7 linked regions of the Kluyveromyces lactis genome follow. The protein of the gene in region 1 purifies or fractionates together with the protein of each later gene. This does not show direct contact. Links are inferred from orthologs where the notes say so. Each region holds a gene or a part of one and is shown on either strand. Other genes may lie near its edges. The genes, in order: RRP43, UTP10, ECM16, RRP45, LRP1, MPP6 and RRP6.

Region 1 (3,106 bases):
CGCCATCATCTCTTCTTACTTATTTTTATTCATTGCATTTTACATTGAAGTGTACAGACGTCAAGGCACAAAGAAGTCTAAGGTTGTTAAAAGAGTTCGTGGTGGTGTTGCAGCTAAGGTTAACGAATATGTGAATGTCGATTTGAAGAATGTGAGTACTCCCTCTCCTTCTCCAGCTCCAAGAAAGAGAAATACTAGATCTAAGAAGGCATAAATACATGTTTTTGCATGTAAACGTTGTAATATTCAACACACGCTATCATTTTTTATTCTCTTCTCTTCATCCTTGTTTATTTATGTTACATTTTCTTATGGATGTTTTACCTTCAATAGGTTTCCTGTCATGATTTGGTACGAAAGAGAACTCACGTAGATAACTAGAAATTTAGCCTCTTTTGTAAGTAACTATTGATTGACGTTCAAGATTACTCTGACGTTTGTTTTGAAGAAAGTTTGAATATGTCGTGTATTATAAAGATATCGATATGCTTCTTACACAACTAAACTTTGGATTCAATATCTTTTGATCTTTGTTTAGATAAAAATATGCACCTTTTTATCATTTCAGGTGTGATCTTAGAGTCACCTCCGATGATTGTTGCAGCCTTGAATTGACCATTTTTGTTCGTTGTCAAGGACAATGTAGATAGAATTGATGATTCCTCGGCCTCTGTTTCTATATCCGCTAATAATACTGAAGTTGGTTTATCCACGTCCATTTCGTCATCATTTTTGGCCAATTGTGCTAAAGGTTCGATGTCAATGATTCCGTAGTTTGAACCATAGCATAATTCTCCTTCGTTCAATTTTAAAGGTAAAGATTTGTGTGGGTCGCATAAGATGTCGTATGTTTCACGAATTGTCATACTACGACCTCGGGTTCTTATAGCAATTTTCAAATCAGCAGCACGTTCGTCTAGGAAAGCTCTAGGTAGTTGCACTGTTTTTAGCGCACTAATCAAAGAATTCCAACAGAGATCATAAATTGGACCGTTACGGCTGAAAACTTGTATTTTGGCATAAAGCACATAGGACCATTTCCTATTGTTTGCTTCATTAATTTTTTTCTCCTCATCGAGTAGCTCGTCACTGTATATTGTGGTGACACTTCCATCTTCTTCAGTCCTGCGAATACCGCACGATACAGCCAAAGCTGTTTTCTTAAGAATTCCAGAATGTAAGAGTGTCTTGTATAGCTTTTCTGAAGTGATCATCTCTTCATCGGTAGGACCACCAACACGTCCACGTTGTACCTCTACTACGGGATAAATAGTTGAATTTTCGCAGAGCCTATCAGTATCTTCTGAAAGCTTCATCAATTCTTCTTCTCCAACATCTTCAGTATTGTTCGCCGGTAATGTCTCTTCAATGATGCCACCCGTTATCGAAGTTATCACAAAGGTCTTGCCAGAGCGTAGAAGACTGGAACCAATAATGTTATTTGTAGTTGCATTTTGACAGTTCGTACTGTACCTAGATATATTACCATCGTTAATGGCAACATCTCTGAATTCTTCGAATCCTCTTGAACATGGTCGAGTTTCCAAAGACAAATGTCTTTGTAAGGAGATGTCAGGCGAAATTCGAGCTAAAACTTCGGGTGGGAAAACTATTGGATGTATATCAATACTTTCAGTCATACTTGATCGGTTGTAGCAACTCCTTGGCGGAGTTCCTCCATCCTTAAGCCCATGCGATGAGCTATAATCGTTTGTAAAAGACCTAGTTGAAGTTTTTCACTTTTTTATACATCCTTGACGTTATGAAGGTTTGAAAGATTTATGCAGTAATAATGGATGGAAAACACTGGTATAAACCCCTGAGAGGGTCGAACACTATCAGGAATCGATACAGTATACTGGTTATGCCTTTCAATTCTTAAGTGACAAGGTTCTGAATAGATCTGCGGACTCCCTAGGCTGCTTAAAAGAATATAATTCTCACGTGACCGATATATTGATGTGATATACCCTAAATAACAGCTAATCCAGCGAAAGGTGGGATAGATGTCAAGTGGTACGTTACATCTTCGTTACTTTTAATTAGCTTAAATGTAAAAAGGTACCGTTTTGTTCTCTGCTTTGGGTTTATTTATGGACATCTGAAACGAAATGATAAGAATTATATGCAGGATTTGACAGTATATACAATGCATTAACTGCGACATAAAGAGCTTGGACCCCAAAGTAAACAAGACAACAGTATGGGCATAGTTGTCGTGGGATCGTTAAATTTTGATTTGGTCACGTATACGGAGCGTGTTCCGGTAGCAGGAGAGACCTTCGTTGCGGATTCGTTTGAAACACATGCTGGTGGTAAGGGGTTGAATCAATGCATTTCGCTCGCGAAATTAACCAAACCATCTGATGACCAGACAAGCAACATTAGGATGGTTGGCCACGTAGGTTCTGATTCATTTGGAAATCAACTACTATCAAAATTGCAGTATCATAACATCAATACAGAATATGTTGAAGAGGTTGATGACGAGTCAACTGGTGTTGCAGTAATTATAGTGGAAAAAGCTAAGGGACAAAATAGAATCATGATTACAGCAGGAGCGAACAGTAAGACTATGTATTCTGATAAGCAGCTTGAAGTGATGTTTCAAAATAACGCCAAAGAATTCATTGTGTTTCAACATGAAATTCCTGATCCTCCTTCCATCATGAATTGGATAAAGGCAAATAGACCAAACTTTGAGGTAGTATTCAACCCTTCTCCATTTCATGCATTAAAAGTAGAAGACTGGAAATCTGTTGATATTTTAATTGTTAATGAAATTGAAGCCATTCAAATTGGCGAATCACTGTATGGTGAAGCCGTGGTTGAGAACTACAAATCGAGAATTGCGGAGAGCTTCAAGCTGGGATACCTAGAATTAGCGCAGTATTATCAGAGTAATTTGATAAACACATCAAATTCCTCGGTTGTTATTATAACTTTGGGAGAATTCGGTGCAGTTTTTACCTCTAAGCAAAACGTTAAAGGAGGTCACGTTCCTTCAATAGCGGTTGAGAAAGTTGTTGATACTACTGCGGCTGGTGATACCTTCCTTGGAGCGGTAGTATCTCAATTATATCAAAAACGCGATCTAGAGAAAGCT
Region 2 (4,004 bases), on another chromosome or scaffold:
CAGCGACTAGTATATCTGCTCTAATAGAGGGTAATTTCATACTTCCGTTGTTAGATTTTAGAGAAGAAATAGTGTTCAAAAGACAAGAGGACAGAGTTTCCTGAGCGTAAAGTACAGGCAAACCACCATCATGGTCTAAAGTTTCCAAGTCGGACAAAAGGTTGAATAAGGCATTCAATAGATTTTCGTTACTCTTTACCTTCAATTTATCCAAAGTCTCCAGAATAATAGTCATTTTCTTTAGGTGGGCTTCGGCAATTTGAGAAATATCTTGTTTCTGTAGGGCGGACTTGTTAACCGTAGACGATCTTCTTCTTCTACGTTTAGTCAAATCTGTTTGATCTTCGCTGTTTATGGTATTACTTTTCAACACAGAGACAAAAATATCTGCAGTTAATGGAAGACTTTGAAGGGTTTCTAGACCATCATATGATAGTTCTTTGTCAACTGAGGAGTCTATTATACTCTGAACAATTTTTAATTGGTTTGGGAATTTCAATGTTGGATACAAAGATAAAATTCTGTCTGCCATGATATTCGAAAGTTGTTCATATTCTGATTCCAAACAGTTAATCAAAAAATCTATCGCGAAACTGTTTTTTTCTTTTGGTGCAACAATGGCACATACCGCAGTTTCGAAGTCTTTGAAATTGGTTTTATTTTTGATGCACTTCGTTTCCCAGGAACTTCTTTCCGTGATGTATGTGGCCATAAATTGTTCGAACACCTTTGAATATGTAAAAGCATATTGTGGCACAGCGGTCAAGAGCTTTAACATTATAGTCTTCGAATAGGCGAGAGGAAGATGCAGTGCCTGGTTGCACCAAAACAGCATATATACCATGTCATTTTTGGATGGAATGACGAGGGATGAAATATCTGTACTTTCAACGATGTAATCGCTTAAAAAGTTGGTCAACCAAAACTTGCTATCTTTCGGACTTAACATTGGCACCTTTAAATTCTCTCCGTAGAGTACGTTAGATAGGAAATACTTTGCTGTGAAAGGTCTCTTGGCTATCTGTTGTAGAACCTTTTTCGTGTTGGAACGAACAGATCTAGAAATATCCATCAATGCTGTCACTAGAATAGGTACCAAAGAGAAAAGATCCGTTTGCTCATCTATACCATTGATGAATTTGCTTAACTGTGTTAGTGAAATCAATCTGAGAGCAACAGGCGAACCAGGGGATACGATGATTCTGAGCACAAACGTTATCCTGCTCTCTAAAGTAGTGAAGAAGGAGGATAAAAATAGACCTGGTTGATATCCTTTACTTACAGCTTCCACAAATAATGACAACAGCTTGACAAACTTTTCATCTTTAACAAGAAGCATAGACTCCGCTTTAGTGGAGATGAACTCTGAGTTTTTGGTCATGAAATCTTTAAATGGAACAGCTGAACCATTCGCGGTTGATGCTTTAGCATCATCTAGAACTTTAATGATATCTTCACCAGATTGTTCCGCACTGTTCTTGACGGAAAATAATGAAGTTGTCAATCTTATTTCGAAAACTTCTCCGGTCAGGTTTAGTGCTTGAAGACATTTCAAAACTAGTCCCTCGTTAATGGAAATGAAGTATTCAAAAACATCGATTAATTGTGACTTGTCCTCTAGAACTTCAGATAAATGTATCAAATCAGTGATGATAAATCTAACTTCGTATTTTTCCAACTTAATCTTCCTTAAGATTTTGACAATTTGACTCAATTTATCATGATCATATCTGATGACAGACCTAATGTATGCAGTGAAAAATTTATCTGAGGAATATTTGTTTTCATTACTCAGGAACTGTAGTAGATATTCGAATGGGAAAGAATTATCAACGAGTTTATAGATCTTGACCGGTAATTGATCCACATTACCTACACCTTTCAAGGTTTGGAAAAGTTTTGAGATTGTGACGAGAGCTTTTTTTCTAGCATCGTCTTCCTTTAAATTGGCCAAGATAGTTTCCGTAGCCGCAATGATAATGCTTTTGTTCAAAGGCAATGCGGTGGCAAGTACCGCGAGCATAGTATGAGCAGCCATTTGACAATCGCTTGAATCCGATGCCAAAAGTTTTGCGGAAATTTCCAAAATCAATGGGACCAATTTATTTAACTTATCTTCATCGTTCGCATTGAAAGCGATCACGTTAATGAAACAACATGTGGTAAATAGCAGTTGATTCGTATAGGTAACTTTTTGCTTGATAATCTTGGACAGATAATTTGAATAAAGCTTCAAGAAGTCCATATCGTTAAACAATTTGATCAACGTCAAATCGGTTGGATTCTTATCGTTTCTGACAAAATTGGTAAATGGGTTGAACAAAGGTGGTAGCTTAACGATATTGAGGATCCTTTTGAACACCGGCGTTTGGTATTGGTTCAAAGTAGATAGAAGAAGCATTTCGGCGTTATGGATATGAATTTGGAACCTACGAATCAACCATTCCGTAGCATGCAAAGCTGGAGTTAGATGCCATTTCGGCGAAATCAACATCAAATACGCATTAACTGCGTTATCCAAATCTCTAATCTGATCCTTTGTTTGAACGTTTCTATCAATGGTCACGGAAGATGCACTGAATAAGGAATTAGTGAAAACTTTGAACCTCAAGTCCAAACTCACCAAAGTATGAAACGATTCCAACGCTGTATCGTATATATACTCATAGTCCTGAGTAGCAGCAGTCTTCGGATTGTAAACCAAAGACGCAGAATGTAACTTTTGTCTTCTCTTTCTATCAAGAGCAACAGTAGCGTTATTCTGCGCTACCTGCGCTAATTGATCACGTAAAGATGACATTCTATATCGTCTCTGCCGTTGCCTGGAGTACTAGCAAGTCGAACCTGATCAAAAATCTATCGCCAGGAGATGATTGCAAAGCCAACGATTTGAACCTCATCTCATCTCATCTCATCGCTACTTTTTTTTTCTTTCACTCTTTAAAATTTTCGATTTGTTCATGCTGCGGTGAAAAGAAATTCATTTATGGTCACGTGTATGAAAATGGAGTGATACCATAAACTTGGGTCAAGTCTCCCCGTAGCTCAATATGCAAGCTACTGGTCAGTTTCCACCTGCTTTCGGATCTATTGAAGTACATACAGACTTAAGAGTTGTTTCAATACATCATGTGCCGTGCAAGGTCACACTACAAGTAATGGCTAGTTTCTGAGGAATTTCGGATCTCAGCCAACCGTATAAGCATGTTTGGCATAAACAAGGCTCATAGCAGCTATCTACTTAGCAATGCCTCAACGTTTCCATTTGAGGGTGTGTGTGAGTTGTGTGCGTTGGGCCTGCGTTCAGACTGGCTTTTCAGCAAAGGACCGGCTCATATAAGAACAAAAGAAAAACACACCTGGCTGGAGCGATGTGGTTATGCGGCGATGTCTCTGCGATTAAACTTAGATCCGAGATCTAGGCGGATGGTTCGTCCGAACCAATCTCAATGCAAAGGCTTGGGTGAACTGCAAAAATGTTTTCTTCTGGTAAACAAACTACTTTTTCGGAAGTTTGAGGCTGAGCACCTTCCTTACCTTAGTTTGCATTATGTAATTTACCGCATTATAAATTTTGTACCGTTTATTTTATATATAGGCAACGACAGGTTTAAGGAACCTTCTATCAAGATTGAATAGCGATGAGCTTAGGGGTTACAACTTGCGGAGAGATTGTTTATCCAAATAACGACATCAGTTATTGAGCCATTAATAATTCAGTCATGAAGTGTAGTACTTTGTTGTTATCTTTGGCTTTAGCTTTAGATTCCGTTTCTGCACGCGAAGGGTGCGATAAGAAATTGAGAGAGTCCTCTCATAAGGAGAAAGAGTTCAACCTAACTCGTGAATACGCTGCTGAGGTTGCTAGAGGTGTTGTTAAGTATGGTGACTTGGTTCATGTTTCTACTTTGAAGGATGGAAAGACTCCGGTGACTTTCCCAGAATACTATGTATCTTCTGATTTATGTGAGGGTGTGAATTCCACAGGTAACCCAATCTTGGTC
Region 3 (4,032 bases), on another chromosome or scaffold:
AGTCGCTTTCATTACCAACAAGCAGCATTTTAGAAAATCTTGGACTTAGCGGAAACAAACTCATTGCTTTACCATCATCAGTGATTCTTTCATTACTGTCGAGTGCACCTAGGTGTTGTAAGAGCTTTATTGACTTCATCAAAGCTGGTCTTTCGGGTGGGGTAGGGAATGGAAAATTCACAATATTATGAACAGCCATGCTCTTCATTTGCAAAACTATACTCTCCACAGGCATTCTTAAAATTTCAGGCTTAGAAAACTGCTCAAAATCTCTTTCGAAAACTGCAGAGGAGTATAAACGATAACAATGACCAGGCCCTGTACGCCCTGCTCTACCACTTCTTTGGCCAGCAGAAGCTTTGCTAATCCAGTCAATTTCGAAACTCTGAACACCATTATTTTCATCAAACTTTCTTTCCTTTGATCTACCACAATCAACGACGTATCTTACTCCCGGTATGGTCAATGATGTTTCTGCCACATTAGTAGCAACAACACATAATCTGGAGTTTGGTGGGGGATCAAGGAAGACCTTCATTTGCTCTTTGGTGGGCAATAGCGAGTAAAGAGGAAGAACATATAGTGGATCTCTATCCGTCTGACCTTCTTCAAGTGTTTCTTCAAAACCTTCTTCTTCGTCCTCTTCTTTGTCCTCAATATCTTCCTCATCAGAGAGTAAACAATCGTCAAATTCTTGTTCCTCTCTAACTCTGACACTGAAGTCGATATCTTCAGCTTCTACATCTGCAGTTTTGGCATCTATTTTCACTGTAGGTATGTGGTCATTTTGAATGAGAGTTTGATGTTTCTTGGGGAAAGGAAACTCTTTTCTTAACCTTTTTACCATGTGCGTGATCTCTTGCTGTCCTGTCATAAAAACCAAGATAGCACCAGGAGGCAACCTTTGATGTATTTTACACGTCTTCCTGAAAGCCTCTTCAGCATAGTTATAAGCTGTTCTACGATTGAAATGTACAGCCACTGGATACTGCCTGGCGTCGACCTTTAAGACAGGTGGAGAAACAGGGAATAAAGTAGGGTTTTCACTAAAATCTGATACTCTCAAGGTGGCAGACATGATAATTAGTTTAAGTTTTTTGTACTTAGCCGGATCAGTTGCATGCTCCTTAGCACGTAAGCTGACACAACGACTTAACATACCAATCAAAATATCTGTATTGATGTTCCTCTCGTGAGCTTCATCGATAATGATAGAAGAGTATTTAGAAAGTCTAAAATCGTTCATCATCTCTCTTAGCAAAACACCATCAGTCATAAATTTCATTCTTGTTTTATCCTTGGTAGAAGAATCGAACCGAATTTGGTATCCTACATATTCGCCATGATCACCCATCTCATTAGTAACACGTCCAGCCATAGAGACAGCGGCCACTCTTCTAGGTTGTGTTATTCCAATCATCCCAGGCGTGTCAGTTGAGGACGAATTACCATATCCTGCCTCGTAAAGAAACTGCGGTACCTGTGTCGTTTTACCTGAACCAGTTTCACCACAAATGATTACAACGTCATTATGATGGATAGCTTCCATAATTCTATGTTCCTCGGCGAAAACAGGTAGTGCGCTTCTCACAGCTTGAACAGCATCAGATCTCCGTACCTTGACATAAAAAGCCTTACGTGTTGAATTTTCGTTCACATTAAATTCATCTGCTTTGAGTCCATCTTCAAAGTCTTCAGGTCTCTCGGTCCTATCGACCTTGATGTTGGAGGAAGGCATAACCATTTCTACATCTCTACCTTCAAGCTTTTTAATTTCCTGATTTGCCCACTCTTTAAATTCTTGGGCAACTGAAGAACTTACGTTTCTGCACTGCGCTATTTCTGAATCCGATCTTTCCTCGCCGTCAGACTCACTCGACTCATCATCGCTGTGACTATCAGCATTACTATTAGATTCACTCTCATCAGGTTCACTTTCTGCAGTGGATGAATGTTCTTCTGATTCACTTTCGTCAGATTCAAAATCCTGATCATCATCCAGTTTACGCCTTCTACGTTCTTCTTGCTCTACCTTTTGCTTCCAGTTATACCTTTTCTTCGAGGCCCTTTTATTCACCACCTTTGCATTACCGAATCCAAAACCAAAACCTGACCCACCAAATTTACTGGGTCTATTATCAATAAATCCCCCAGTATTTGCCGAAATAGGGTGATCTGAACTGGTATGGTCCGTTTCATCACTATCCGAATTGCAATTTTCAGCTGTGCTTTCCTGACTGGGCCTAGTTTCTGGATGATCTTGATACCAATCCCTTACCTCAGTTTCATCGTAAAGAATTTCCCTGGTAGTTTCATCACCACGTCCATTTCTTTCTAATTTGAGGGCTTCTTCAATCCCTTGCCTCTTAGTTTGCCTTCCTTGTCCCAAAATCTTAGAACTTGTCAAAAGCTTAGTATCAATTTTATAGTCCTGAAGTTTTTCTATCAAAACTTTTTTCTCCTCTCTTTTCAATTGATGCTCGATGAACTTCTCTAACCTTTTTTTCTTCGTCCTAGAGACCTTCGTTTCCTTAGGTGTGAATAGCTCTTCCAATTTACGCTTTTTCTCTTGTTTCTCTTCCTCCGTCATGGGTTTCAATACAGCAGCGTTCGTATCTTCCTGATGATCGGGTGATTCATGATGTTCATCTTCAGATGAATTACCTTCTTCAGAATCAGCATCGGAAGAATTTTCAAGTGCACGGGTGAACTGCCTATTCCTTACTCTCTTCAACTCCTTCAACTTAGACATCTGACCCGCGCGTGCTTTCTCATTCCAGCGCTTCCTATAGGTACCCATGTTTGTTGTTCAATTTTTTGACCGTTTAACGTGCGAGGTACTTCTCTTGACTGTTAATGTCACAGAGGCCTATAACATTCAGACTACCAGCCTGTTATCAACGAGATTTTGATATATAGATGCAGGTGAGCTTGGATGCGATGAGATGCGATGAGCTTTAAAGCTTTTTCTGCCATAAAGGAAGATGAAAAAAAAAAAAAGAAAGTCGCTTTCAACGTTTTGATAATTCAAAGATATAGGCAATCTTTTGTACATTTAAGTTCAAAGAGCAGTTGATTCCACCGTTAATTGGGTTTTCAAGTACTCATTAAATTTGGGAAACGTGATAAATCGCATTTTTTGCCTCTTTTCAAATCATTAATGAATGGTTCCCAAACCTGATAAGCACAACAGCTCAACAGAGGATGAAGAAATATATGGTATTCTTGACAAGCCTAATATTAGGCACGTCCAATTTGGCTTGAATAAAAGATTTGCAACTTGGTACGGGAGTAATGTTTATTTTGGAAGAAATAAGAGGACCTTGGGCTTCAAGGAATCGAACAATGAGCACACCGCAAAACAAAGCCCTACTGAAAAGAAGTTTGAAGATCAGTATTGGATTGATACCCTATACGTATGTGAATATTGTTTCAAGTACACTGATGATGAAGCAGAGTTAATCGCACATGAGTGCTTTTGCCGATATAAGAATAAGCCACCCGGTAGAATAAAATACAGAAGCCCCGAATACACTATACGAAGGGTAAAAGGTTCTAAGCATGAAGTTTTCTGCCAATGCTTATGTCTATTTACTAAGCTATTTCTTGATAACAAGTCTGTCTACTTCAAAGTTAAGCATTTCGAATTCTATATTGTGTATGAGAACAATTCTACAGTACCGATGGCATTTTTTTCAAAAGACTTATATTCCTACCACCAAAATAACCTTGCATGTATTCTTGTCTTTCCGCCCTATCAAAGAAGAAGATTGGGTACTCTCTTGATTGAGTTTTCCTACACTTTATCAAGATGTCAGGGTCTGATTTCGGGTCCTGAAGTTCCTCTATCTCCTTTCGGTTTAATTGGCTATCTTAAATTTTGGTCTTTCTCAATAGTTTGGCAGTTGACTGAAGGTAATTTGAAAGATGTGGCCCAGGTCACTTTGAAGGATCTTTCCGAGGCCACTGGTTTTAGAATCAATGATATAATTCAAGCTCTCAAATATCTTGATTGTTTAAGTGATTCTGAAA
Region 4 (2,750 bases), about 630 kb from region 1:
TGTACAGTAACATACTGGGCTAATTCGAAGAACATTTTGGCGGCAGAAGAGCGGTACTTGAATTCTGCACCAGAGACACAAATTTCTATTGACAAACACATGATGATGTTGGATGAACGAGATTTGTATCCCGAACTTAATTCACGAAACGGATTCGAATTTGAAAAGAACGACTTGAACAGATATCCAAATTTAATACATATTGTAAAGTTTAACGCTCGGGAAGAATCAGTGACTTCCTCAACAGAAAGAGACATGACCAGACTTTATATTTGATTCACTATCGCTAAGATATTCACAGCATACACTCTCATATATCCACCAAACAGATACATTATTTGTATATTCATACATACAACATATAGTACAGAACAATATCAAACGCGCTGAACGGCATGGATTAAACGACTTCTAGCTGCCAAGTGTCTTGGGATATGGTACAACCATAAGCATTAATCTATAATTGAAGAAAAGCTTCCAGTTCTTCGATACAATGCTCCTTAAGTTTCACGAGCATTTTCAGAGCTCAAAATGTGTGCGTATTGGTTTCTTGCAATGGTATCTTGTTTCACAACACGATGAATTTGATCAGTGATTTTTTCTACAATTCCGTATGCTTTATGACAACAATCAATCAACGACAAAGCTTCCATCGGCAAACCACCTGCTTTGGAGATTTGAACAACTTCTCTGTTTTTATTAAGCGTCACAGTAAGCACACCATCTCTCAATAGCTCCTCTTTTAAGGAAGCATCGATGATTGATATTTCTGCATTGTCCTCACCTTTGATATTTTCTTCTGTATCGTCTGGATTGAAGAATGAAAACGTCACACAAATTGGAACATGCAAAACACCTAGTGACACAGGTTCTCTTTCATCAATCGGATGTACCGTCACTCTTTCACCAAGAACAGTAACGTCGGGCTTCTTAAAATGAAGTAACCCAGCCATTACAGCAATGCAACTGGCATCGATTAGTCCACCATCACAATCTAAAAAGTGAACATCAGCTCTAAGAGACCAACATTTGGAGCCAGCTATTATGCATAAACCTTCTACATCTAATGCTCCTGATCGTCTTACAGCTTTCTCAATCATCCTACTGATCAATACCTCTTCTTCTCCAGTATTGTTCCCATTCTCAAACTGAGCACCTGCCATCGGTGTAGTTTCGGTACTTATATGGAAAAGTCCTTCAAACGGTCTATCTTCATAAGGTTGTGCAATTTCACAGCTGATACGACAGTGTACCTTTGTGTTACCCATGGTAACAGTCACATCACCGTATGCTTCACCTATTTCGATCTTCACATCTCTGAATTGGTCATATGAACGTCCATCTAATCTTTGTTTAAGCTTTAACGCTTCCAGGATAAATTTGGATTCAGCATTACTGATCTCTATATCTTTTGCCATCACCTCTTATCGATTTAACTATTTTGATATGCGAATGCAAGCTCTCTTCGGCTATGGTTTTCTCTTTCAGTGCTGCTCATCGCAACTCTTTAACTTTTCAAGTGTTATAGTTCTAAATCTTTCATAAGCTTTGTCTCATTTGATATGATAGAAAGATGAAAAAGGAATAAAAACAAAATTGATGCGAGTTTCTCTAGGAGGAAGACCCTGTAGACAGGTATTAAGTGGAAGAAGATCAATTATTTTAGAGCTCAACAACGGCATGTTATGTGAAGCTTTAGGTCAAAATGATAGAGGTTATCCAATACTGATATTTCTACGAAATTATTATATGCCCTTACTTATGTTTTGTTAGTTTTGAAGAATCCGTCAATTCTTCCTTTACCCTTAGCAACCTTTGGTTTCACAACTTTAGCCTTTTGAATAGGTTGTTTCTTTACGGTTTTTGTGCCATTTGGAATGGCTGTAGACATAGCAGCTTTGATAAGGAGCTCTCTTTCCCTTTCTGTTTGTAATGTTTCGTTCTTGTACTTGTCGTATGAGTCGAAACATTGTTTGATGTTAAGATTTGAAGATTCATGTCTAATTAGATCCTGGTATGCGAGTTGTGGGATCAAGGAAACTAGAAGATTACACGACATTATGCATTTCAGAGATGATGCTATATCTTCAGGTAGCGATTTTGGTATTTTAAGAGAAGTAGGGAAGTTGTTGTTGATTTTGATGACTTTCTTCAGTAGCCATTCTACTATCATTTGAGGTTCGATACGATAATACTTGTCACCAGCTTCTTCCACTGTATGTGATATTTTCCCGAGACAACTTTCCCATAATTTTGGAGGTATCTTCTCCCAATTTTCACTGTGATTATTCGTTAATTTCTCTTGGTAATCAGAACTAGTATAAAAGTTAGTATCCATATCGAGTGCGGGTGGAACGCAAGGTGTAATAAACGCTAGATCCTCACTAGTAACTTTGTTGTTCCTATAATAATACCCACATATATTAAAAGTTAAGTCATATTTTTCGGCATATAGTATCGAACCATCTTCTAGTATGTGTCCATCTTTCCTGTTCTCTTCATTGATCAAAAATGTGGATTTAAATGTTTGCGAATCTGAAGTATAATGATATTTATCATTCACTAAATCTCGCGAGCAATTATAGTCACAGCCTTTACTGAACTTTTTGATTTTAAGCTGGTATACTTTATCGTCGTGTACAAACAGTTTGATAGGTTTCTTTGATTCGTTATTCGATGGATGTGGAAGTTCAAATATTTCGACAGGAGAATCCACTGAATTTGGCAAAGCTACCAATAGACATCCTTTC
Region 5 (2,276 bases), on another chromosome or scaffold:
AATTTTGTTTCCCCCTCAAAGAGCGACAAATTCGACAGATTTAAGAGAAAACATATACCAAAGAGATAGAATTGCGTTGGGTATTGAACCTCTATGGTTCTGCAACTGGTGCCAACAGATATTTTATAGTGTATCATTACAGCTTTATCTTTTACTATACATATTATATGTGTATATGTGTATAATTGGTCAAAAACGTTCGCATGACTCAAATAAAAGATGGATCATATATGTGATGTGTCGAATCTCAAACGAAAACGAAGATTACATCCACCTATTGGCGTTGCATCTCAGTGAGACGTTTAAGATTGGCCAAGTTCTCCAGGATCTGGCCATCTGAGATCATAATTGGGGTTTGCGTATCGTTGCGGAAGTAATCTTCTGCACTTGTATGTGCTAAAGGTGGACAGAGTCTGAATGAACCAGACCGATCCATTTGATGTTGGAAGGGGGAATTTTCCGAATAGAACGCAGTTCTATCGAGTTTGACTTTGAGATGGTTCTGCTGTTCGTCGTTCCCGTTCTTTTGGTATAGGTTCTGTAGAAGCGGTTGCGGTGGCTGTATTCCAGCCTGAAGCGATGATGACTCGTGGTTCAATAGGAAGGATACGTTCATCTGTTTAGAGTTCCGCTGCAAAAGCTGATCCATTTCTGTGACGACTTTCTGCAAATTTGATGCCAAGGTTGACCATGATTCTGCATCGCTTGGCGAGAGCGAGTGTGCTTGCTCACGATATTTCTCACGAACCTGTCGTAGCTGTGTCTCTATATTCGATAAGTCATCAGCGACCATTATCTATGCTGACGAGAAACAAACTAAAGTACTTCTTGAGCTAGGCCAGTGTTGAAATTAAGTATACTGGCGGAGGGTGGATGTTACTTCAACAGTCCAAATAGGACTACTCGCCCTGTATTGAGTACAGGTTCTCCATATATGTGGTATGAATGTGTGTAATGTCTTGCGTTTTTTTTTTTTTTTTTGGCAGGCAAATATGGAATTTTCGCTGGATAAAGAAATAGAAATATTACTGAAGTACTTCTACGTGCGAAACGCACGCAGATTATTATGCGTTTTGTTCCATTGCGAAAAATTCGCAGTATTATGTTATTGATCGAAAATTTTGATTCAGTGAAGAATACTTCATCTCGGTATTATACAGCTTCATCTCATCTCATCTCATCTCATCTCATCGCTGCCTCAGTCGACAACGACAAGAACACGGACCACATACAACTACCAGCATGGAAGATACTAAGAAAATTAAACCATACATCTCGTATCTCAATAAACAGGTGGAACAACTCAGTGGTGAGATTAACAAACTAACGAGCAAGTCATTGGACGAACAACTGTTGCTTCTGCAAGATGAAAAGAAGAAACTTGATCTTTCAAACAAATACGCATATGTATTGAGTTCACTATGCTTTTCATACATGAAAGTCCTCAATATCAAAGACCTGTCACCTATCATGGCCGAATTGGCAAGGTGTAAGTCATATATGGATAAATCTAAACAGTTAGAAGCTAAGAAAGAATCTGAAGAGAAGGATGAGGTGGAGCAAGAAGAACAAGCAAAAAGAGTTCTACAATCTGCGTTGGGAGGTGGCAAAATGGAACCTGCTATCAGTAAAGTCAACTTTCAGGGGAAACATACTAAGTTTTCGACAGAGGCTTCCACCACCAGCACTGATAAGGATGGACTGGCAAATCGAGTAGTAGACGGAACAAAGAAATCAAAACAGCAAAAACAATCTGGTAAAGTATCGAAGAAATAATTCATCTGAAATATGTCCTGGCATGTTCATCCATGTATTCCTGGGTCTTATTCTGGCATTCTATATTAATAATTAGCATCGCATTTTTCACTGACATAACAAGTTGTATAGTATAAATACACTAAAATTGGGAAACAAAAAGAAGGAAATTCCAGTTGGCAAACGTGAACAAGAATTAACCAAAGATACAGGTTTCAAGTGGCAACAGAGAGTTACAGAGACCAGTAAAAGGATTAAAAGAAGTACATTTCAATAGCCATGATATCTGACGAGGATATTTCAACTTTCCAAGGTGTTTGCGGTACAGATAACGATGAATTGTCAAGACATTTCCTTGAGATGGCCGGAGGCAATTTGGAAACAGCCATCTCGTTATTCTTTGAACATGGTGGTGAGAGACAGTTGAACAGCAATTCTGGTAATAATAATGCCGGTGCTGGTGCTGGTGCTAATACAGGGGGTTCTGGCGGTCTGAGTGGCGACGTAGAGTTTGCTGAAGA
Region 6 (2,412 bases), about 460 kb from region 1:
CCAACTATATTTTGACAAATCTACATCTTCCTCATCTTCATCATTGTCTTCCCCTTCACCAGGCTTTTTGGTGTATTCCCATTGGAATAAGGCACCATCTTTACTGACCGTGTATATCTTTTCCTGGTCATCGCTGAAATATGCTCCGATAACGTTATCTCTATGTCCTGCAAAAGTCGTCGATGCAAGATTTTTCTCCTCCGAGTTAACTGACCATATCCTTGCCGTTAGGTCCTTGGATGTGGATATAATAAATCTTGAATCTTTTGACCATGTCAAGGAAGTTATATCAGAAAAGTGGCCGGCATGGATTCTATAACGAACAAAAGGTGCAAACTGTCTATCCTCAGTGGTCTCGGGTGTCCTCCATATTTGTAAGAATCTCCCACAAGCCAGCGCAAATAACTTGCCATCAGGTGAAAACTTCAAGTCATAAACCTTTTCTTTGAAGTTGAAATGATGCAATACGTTTCTTGTCTTAAAGTTCGCCAAGATACCACGACCATCGACATCAATGGAAAGAAGTAACGTACCTTGCTTGTTGATATCTACAACGGCAACGTTCTTCCTATGTTCATATTCGAAGGTAAAAGCAGTATTGTTGATCAAATCAAATACCGACACCCTATTACCTACCGGTGAAAGTAACTTGGAACCATCTTGAGAGAACAAGACGTTACCTTGCCTATAAACAGTTCCCAAAAGATTGGAAAACTTAAAATCAGACTTCATCCGTAACTAAACCCTTATAAAGCTCGTCTGACCTGATTCCTTCCAACTAATTGAAATTGAACAACTGATTATAATGCAAAGTCCTTACAAGTGACTGATAATCCGTCTGCACTTCCTGCTTGAACTCATCTCATCTCATCTCATCTCATCGCTCAATTTTTTCTCTTAAATTTTTCGAAATCCTGTATGCTGAATGAAAAAGAAAGGAAAACATATACAGCTTTAGCACGGAAGTAAAGAAAGAGAGAACAGAAACATGTCGGTTTTTGGGTGGATTGTCGTTTATGTCAGCACTTGAAACTTAGTATGAGTACTTCATTATAGCTGTTTTCATACTTTTACCAATGACCTTTTTATTTCATTTATTTTTGTACAATGTTCCTTTTATAGTGCAGATCCTTGCATTCTGAAATACGTCCGACGGGGTTTAACCATGGATATTTCTATCTTCTTGCTATCTTTCATTTTCCGGACAATCGTAAACAAACTTTTCATGAAATTCTAATATGTAAGATCAAACCATTCAGCAGAAGATTGATGAGATGAGCTGTATTAGGACTTTAATGATACATTAAAAATGTATTCCAGTGTCAATGATATAGTGAAGCCTATTTGAAAGCGGTAATAGGGGCACTAAGACGAAAAGGTAACAATGAGTGGACAGAAACGGCATGAAGTCACAGGCAAGTTATCCAATAGAGTGATGAACATGAAGTTCATGAAGCATGCGGAACAAGCAGACAAAGTTAAACAGACCGAGGAGACAATAAAGAAATTGGTGGACTCGTCAGAATGGAGGATAGGTGACAATGTAAAACTCTTGACAAAACTTGCTAATAAATCAAAAGTGGTACAGAACGTAGGTTTCTCTGCTATCAAGTCACTGAATGATGAGGATTCGAAGATCGATACAAACGATCTCAGCACAAGCACACTACGGACTAGTGTAAATGCAGGAAGAAGAATATTCGGAAATAAACTCGGACGAGCTACGCCCGGTTCAGATGGGAGTTCTAATGATAAGAAAAGAAGTTTTGAAGAAAAGGACGAGGACGATGTGTCGACGACAGATTTAGAAAAGCTATGGGAAGCCGAAACACAGACTAAGAAACAGAAGAAATCCAATGGTAATGGTAATACTGAGAGGAATAAGAAGAAGTCAAAAAGGAATAGAAATTAAACTTCATAGCAGGATGCTAAATGAGACACTAGTATTTGTATATTATTTTCGCCGACTTATATAATAAATAGAGTAGATCAAATTCCGGTAACAATACTCCATTCTATAAATGTGAACTATTTTGACCTCTTCTTACTTGAAGTAGAGGTAGCAGCTTCTGTGAAATGCCCCTTCAATATTACTTCTCTAGTTGTTGAATTTATATGCTTGAATCTATCTGGACCAATATGAACTCCTCCGAACCATCTTCCAACGGCAACAATTACATTCCATGCATCCATCACTGTGATCAAATGTAGCATTCGTCCTCCTGCAGCTGTTTCTCCATCGTCATCGCAGTCTTGGAAACTGACACCGTTCTCTCCCTTGATTCTCCATGCAACCATTAAATGATTAGCACGAGCAATTTTATTATCGGTTCTTAACAGCTCAAGCTTATCGAATGCCTCTTCTTCAGAATTGGCTTTAGTAGCAAACGCAATAAACGTGCTCTTTCTGTC
Region 7 (3,924 bases), on another chromosome or scaffold:
TGAACTCACCGGATAAAACTTCCACATACTTCTTCAAAATGGTCGATCCAATGAATCCTGGCATTGGTGGCACCTTGGTACCGCCTAGTACAACAATCAAGAACAATCTTAAAGATAAAGGAAATGGTAGATTAAACACAAACATTATATCCACTACGGGCAGGATCGTTTCACCATCTATAACCGAGGGCGATAGCTTTAATCTGAGTGAACACCGGAAAACTCGTTCCCGAGAAACTTCTGTTAATGAGAATAGTGATTCTCCTCCGATCACCATTCCACAAAAGAGAAATATGAAGGAGGATGATCCGACCAATATGGATAGAAAGAGCACTTTGCTACGCAACGGCAAAAAGCTTTCAAGTCATTTCAATAGTTGACCTTCCTTTAATTTATTTCATTGCCAGGATGGAATCAACTTCGGATTCAATTTATCTTTCGCTGAATTTGTGAAGATGGTTGGCAAAATGTGTTATGAGTCTTTTACGATACTGAAATGGTTTCCCATTTTTGTTGATGTTCTTTTCATCGCAGCAATACTCATCAATATTCACTTCATAATGTCTAGACGGAAATTAGACATTAATTGACCCACTTTTAAGTTATTGAATCACTACCCAAGATTACAATGAAAAAGCATGTAGTATTAAAGTATAGTTTCACTACTTAAATGTTTCAGGATTTTGCATTACTTTCCTTCAATTGTGCCATCTTTACTCTTACAGGTTAGCCGCCCTATATAGCTATACTTAATTGGTTGCCATAAAATGGAGCAGCTGATGCTGTCTGCTTCTAGCGTCATTTTATAATATTGAGATGAGAGATGCTGCAACATTAGTTGAAAAAAAATCCGTACATCGTAGAGGAAGCAGAAGTTATGCAAGATTATATAGTTAGTTCTCTAGTAGCCAATTAACTTATAACGTAGCCGTTGAAAGGCAATGGCGGCGGTGGTGATACGTGGTCTGACTCTCTCTGTAATACTACCGACTCTTTGAATGAATCATTTTCATCAGTAGCAGAGAACATCTAAATTTTACCCGGATTTGAATTCTTCTGATTTCTTTTGATTAGTGAATATTTCTTCATCTCATCTCATCTGGTAGTCAAAGACAGTAATATATTGGAGGGCAGTACGATTCGCCCCGTTTTGAATCCCCCGTAGACTACCAGCTGACTCTAATCCACCATGTCTTCAGAGGATAAGGATACGTTACTTTCCAGTTTGGTTCAAACTGTGAGATCATCGAGTGCATTGGCTGCACAGGATATCGATTTCTACAAAAGTTTAGATTCCAACATTAATGCATCATTAGAAGACACTTCTACGAACATTTTATCGTTAATCAACGACTTGCTTTTGTCTATTGATCCCAATAATGATGTAATTCAGCAAGGGAAAGACAGTTTTGTGGATTCTTGGAAATCCATAAGTAATATTATGGATAATTTATTTGAAAAGTCTGATCATGCACTTGACAACATTAGAGCCGGAAATGGTGGAAACGCTGGAGGTCCATCACTTAAGTATCTAAATGATGATGATCGTTCGAACAATAAACCATCCAAGAGGATTGAAAAACCTCAACTAAGTTTTAAAACTCCTGTAGATAACACAGAACTTCATCCTTTCAAGCCATTATTGGAATACAAACCCCATAGTTTACAACCGTTCGAAATTTCATTGAAGATGGTCCCAGAAGAGGAATCCATCCCGTCCCATTACCCACATCCATACGAATATGAGATCGACCACCAAAAATACAATGACTCCATTCTTGTTGCAACAGAACCGATCCCATCAAAGGACTGGGATGAAACTGAAGCAATTTGGGTTGACACCGTTGAAGGCCTTAACAAAATGAAAGATGAATTAAGTAAAGCCACAGAATTAGCAATCGATTTAGAACATCATGATTATAGGTCTTACTATGGTATAGTTTGTTTGATGCAAATTAGTGACCGGGAGCATGATTGGATTGTAGATACTATTGCATTGAGAGAGGAACTTTACATATTGAATGATATCTTTACCGACCCTAATGTTACTAAAGTTCTGCACGGTGCATTCATGGATATCATATGGCTTCAACGTGATTTAGGCTTATATATTGTTGGCCTTTTTGATACTTATCATGCCTCCAGGATGTTAGGTTTTCCAAAACACAGTCTGGCCTATCTTCTCGAAAGATTTGCTAATTTCAAGACTTCAAAAAAATATCAACTGGCAGACTGGAGAATCAGACCGTTGACCAAGCCTATGCTTGCATATGCAAGAGCTGATACGCATTTTCTCCTAAATATTTTCGATAAATTAAGGAACTCTCTACTGGAACAGAATAAGATGTCCGATGTTTTGCATGAATCGAGAAAAGTGGCTAAAAGAAGATTTGAATATAGTAGTTTCAGACCAAAGGTTCCGTCTTCAGCAGTGTTTTCACCTATTGAAAAGGATGAACCTTGGAAGAATATTATGTTTCAGTACAATATTCCGGCTTCAAAGGAATTACTTCTCCGTAGACTTTATGAATGGAGAGATACAATCGCCAGGAGGGATGATGAATCTCCTCGTTACGTGATGCCAAACCAACTACTTGTATCGTTGGTGGCTGGTGCACCAACCGAACCCATTAACGTATTGTCTGTCAGCTCATACGTTTCAGAGCATTTAAGAACAAATTCGAAGGTCATTGCAAACTTGATCAAAAGAACTTTAGAGGATCTCAAAGGAAATTCCAACTCTTCTGCGATCCCACTTTTGGAATCGGCCGAAAGTAACGGCACCGATCTGGCCAATATAATAACAACGTCCCAAATTAAATCCATTCAGAATATATTTCATTCACTTGCTTCGGAAATAAACTCTCAAAAGCTGAATAACGAACAAAATTCAGAGAAATCTGTCCTATTCAATGGTATTTCAAACTTGGATGTGAATACTGCCGTCAGATATACACCAAAGACGAGAACGCTCATTCCACAACATGAATTATTAAAGCGTCAGCATGAAATAACAAGGACGTTAGAACAAGAATACACTGACCGACAAGCTCAGAGTATTGTGCTACCGTCAAATGAGGATGAAGCTCCTACGCAAGTATCTAACGATGAAAACAGAAATGAAGTCATCACGTCTGATCCTTCTCAGGAAGAGATTGAAGAGAACAAGGATGAAGTAATTACGTTGCGCAAAAGACAATCTCAATCTAACAACAAACGAAAGACTATCAGTCCACCTGCAAGTCATGAGATTATGGATTATGCTGCTGGCTCCGACCTATTGAACTCAACAAAGAATAATACAAACTCACAGAAGCATAAAAAAAGAAGATTCGATCCTTACTCTGTTGAACATGTCGGTCCACAGCCTATCAAGAAAAAATCAAAACCTGCCAAGGGTAAGAACGTCTCATTCAAAAGATAGAGCATCTTGAGCAGCTCTAATGGTATAAATATCGAACTAGTCATATTTACAGGTTAATTTCGCTCACTAATTCGTTTGCGTAATAGTTTTTTTCCTTAGAAATAGCTACTTCTGCCTAGGCATTGAGACACAGATTGGATAACTTGAGCTTTTCTGAGACTGCCCATAAGATCCTCCAGTTGCAAGGAGTCTTTTCACAGTAGTCAGTCTATCCTAATTTCTTCATCTATAGTCATGTGCAGTGCATCAGATTAGCCAACAGTTCTCGAAAATGTTGGAACTGACAAAAAGGAATGTTGATATTCAAATTTTGTTTACTACGCGGAATTATAAGAGTGTATAAATAAGGGTATCTCATGGCATTTAAAAGAGATTTAGCCCTAAGTAGTATATATAATGAGATTGAATTTTTAATGCATACTGCAATGAACTGCTTTGATCAAACATAAAGAGCAGAAAAATTAAACGGGTACGACTCCAAGAGCTTATCTATCCTATTA

What was found.
Region 2: the proteins of RRP43 (region 1) and UTP10 purify together in Saccharomyces cerevisiae (affinity purification with mass spectrometry; 3 studies listed by BioGRID). This does not show direct contact. The link is inferred for Kluyveromyces lactis from reciprocal best matches to the Saccharomyces cerevisiae genes RRP43 and UTP10.
Region 3: the proteins of RRP43 (region 1) and ECM16 purify together in Saccharomyces cerevisiae (affinity purification with mass spectrometry; 3 studies listed by BioGRID). This does not show direct contact. The link is inferred for Kluyveromyces lactis from reciprocal best matches to the Saccharomyces cerevisiae genes RRP43 and ECM16.
Region 4: the proteins of RRP43 (region 1) and RRP45 purify together in Saccharomyces cerevisiae (affinity purification with mass spectrometry; 7 studies listed by BioGRID). This does not show direct contact. The link is inferred for Kluyveromyces lactis from reciprocal best matches to the Saccharomyces cerevisiae genes RRP43 and RRP45.
Region 5: the proteins of RRP43 (region 1) and LRP1 purify together in Saccharomyces cerevisiae (affinity purification with mass spectrometry; 4 studies listed by BioGRID). This does not show direct contact. The link is inferred for Kluyveromyces lactis from reciprocal best matches to the Saccharomyces cerevisiae genes RRP43 and LRP1.
Region 6: the proteins of RRP43 (region 1) and MPP6 purify together in Saccharomyces cerevisiae (affinity purification with mass spectrometry; 4 studies listed by BioGRID, with this or other methods). This does not show direct contact. The link is inferred for Kluyveromyces lactis from reciprocal best matches to the Saccharomyces cerevisiae genes RRP43 and MPP6.
Region 7: the proteins of RRP43 (region 1) and RRP6 purify together in Saccharomyces cerevisiae (affinity purification with mass spectrometry; 11 studies listed by BioGRID, with this or other methods). This does not show direct contact. The link is inferred for Kluyveromyces lactis from reciprocal best matches to the Saccharomyces cerevisiae genes RRP43 and RRP6.

The regions. Positions count from the first base shown.
Region 1 is NC_006039.1:318,832-321,937, reverse strand, and holds RRP43 (exosome non-catalytic core subunit RRP43), read right to left. Parts: upstream 1,641-3,106; coding exon 501-1,640; downstream 1-500. Other genes in the region: KLLA0_C03542g (elongation of very long chain fatty acids protein), read left to right, coding at 1-214; RBK1 (putative ribokinase), read left to right, coding at 2,204-3,106.
Region 2 is NC_006042.1:1,973,999-1,978,002, reverse strand, and holds the start of UTP10 (snoRNA-binding rRNA-processing protein UTP10), read right to left. Parts: upstream 2,801-4,004; coding exon 1-2,800. Other genes in the region: KLLA0_F21164g (uncharacterized protein), read left to right, coding at 3,723-4,004. UniProt on the Saccharomyces cerevisiae protein: Involved in nucleolar processing of pre-18S ribosomal RNA. Required for optimal pre-ribosomal RNA transcription by RNA polymerase I together with a subset of U3 proteins required for transcription (t-UTPs). Involved in ribosome biosynthesis.
Region 3 is NC_006042.1:1,597,097-1,601,128, forward strand, and holds the start of ECM16 (ATP-dependent RNA helicase ECM16), read right to left. Parts: upstream 2,801-4,032; coding exon 1-2,800. Other genes in the region: SAS2 (histone acetyltransferase), read left to right, coding at 3,165-4,032. UniProt on the Saccharomyces cerevisiae protein: Probable ATP-binding RNA helicase. Required for 18S rRNA synthesis. May play a role in restructuring of the pre-rRNA.
Region 4 is NC_006039.1:952,725-955,474, reverse strand, and holds RRP45 (exosome non-catalytic core subunit RRP45), read right to left. Parts: upstream 1,419-2,750; coding exon 501-1,418; downstream 1-500. Other genes in the region: KLLA0_C11121g (uncharacterized protein), read left to right, coding at 1-276; RNH202 (Rnh202p), read right to left, coding at 1,760-2,750. UniProt on the Saccharomyces cerevisiae protein: Non-catalytic component of the RNA exosome complex which has 3'->5' exoribonuclease activity and participates in a multitude of cellular RNA processing and degradation events.
Region 5 is NC_006041.1:1,510,361-1,512,636, forward strand, and holds LRP1 (Lrp1p), read left to right. Parts: upstream 1-1,242; coding exon 1,243-1,776; downstream 1,777-2,276. Other genes in the region: KLLA0_E16985g (uncharacterized protein), read right to left, coding at 275-793; DNA protein crosslink repair co-factor UBX5, read left to right, coding at 2,035-2,276. UniProt on the Saccharomyces cerevisiae protein: Required for exosome-dependent processing of pre-rRNA and small nucleolar RNA (snRNA) precursors. Involved in processing of 35S pre-rRNA at the A0, A1 and A2 sites. Required for activity of RRP6 in 7S pre-rRNA processing.
Region 6 is NC_006039.1:782,856-785,267, reverse strand, and holds MPP6 (Mpp6p), read left to right. Parts: upstream 1-1,384; coding exon 1,385-1,912; downstream 1,913-2,412. Other genes in the region: snoRNA-binding rRNA-processing protein PWP2, read right to left, coding at 1-732; YIH1 (Yih1p), read right to left, coding at 2,029-2,412. UniProt on the Saccharomyces cerevisiae protein: RNA-binding protein that associates with the RNA exosome complex. Involved in surveillance of pre-rRNAs and pre-mRNAs, and the degradation of cryptic non-coding RNAs (ncRNA) derived from intergenic regions and the ribosomal DNA spacer heterochromatin.
Region 7 is NC_006040.1:113,524-117,447, forward strand, and holds RRP6 (exosome nuclease subunit RRP6), read left to right. Parts: upstream 1-1,189; coding exon 1,190-3,424; downstream 3,425-3,924. Other genes in the region: PHO80 (Pho80p), read left to right, coding at 1-380. UniProt on the Saccharomyces cerevisiae protein: Nuclear-specific catalytic component of the RNA exosome complex which has 3'->5' exoribonuclease activity and participates in a multitude of cellular RNA processing and degradation events.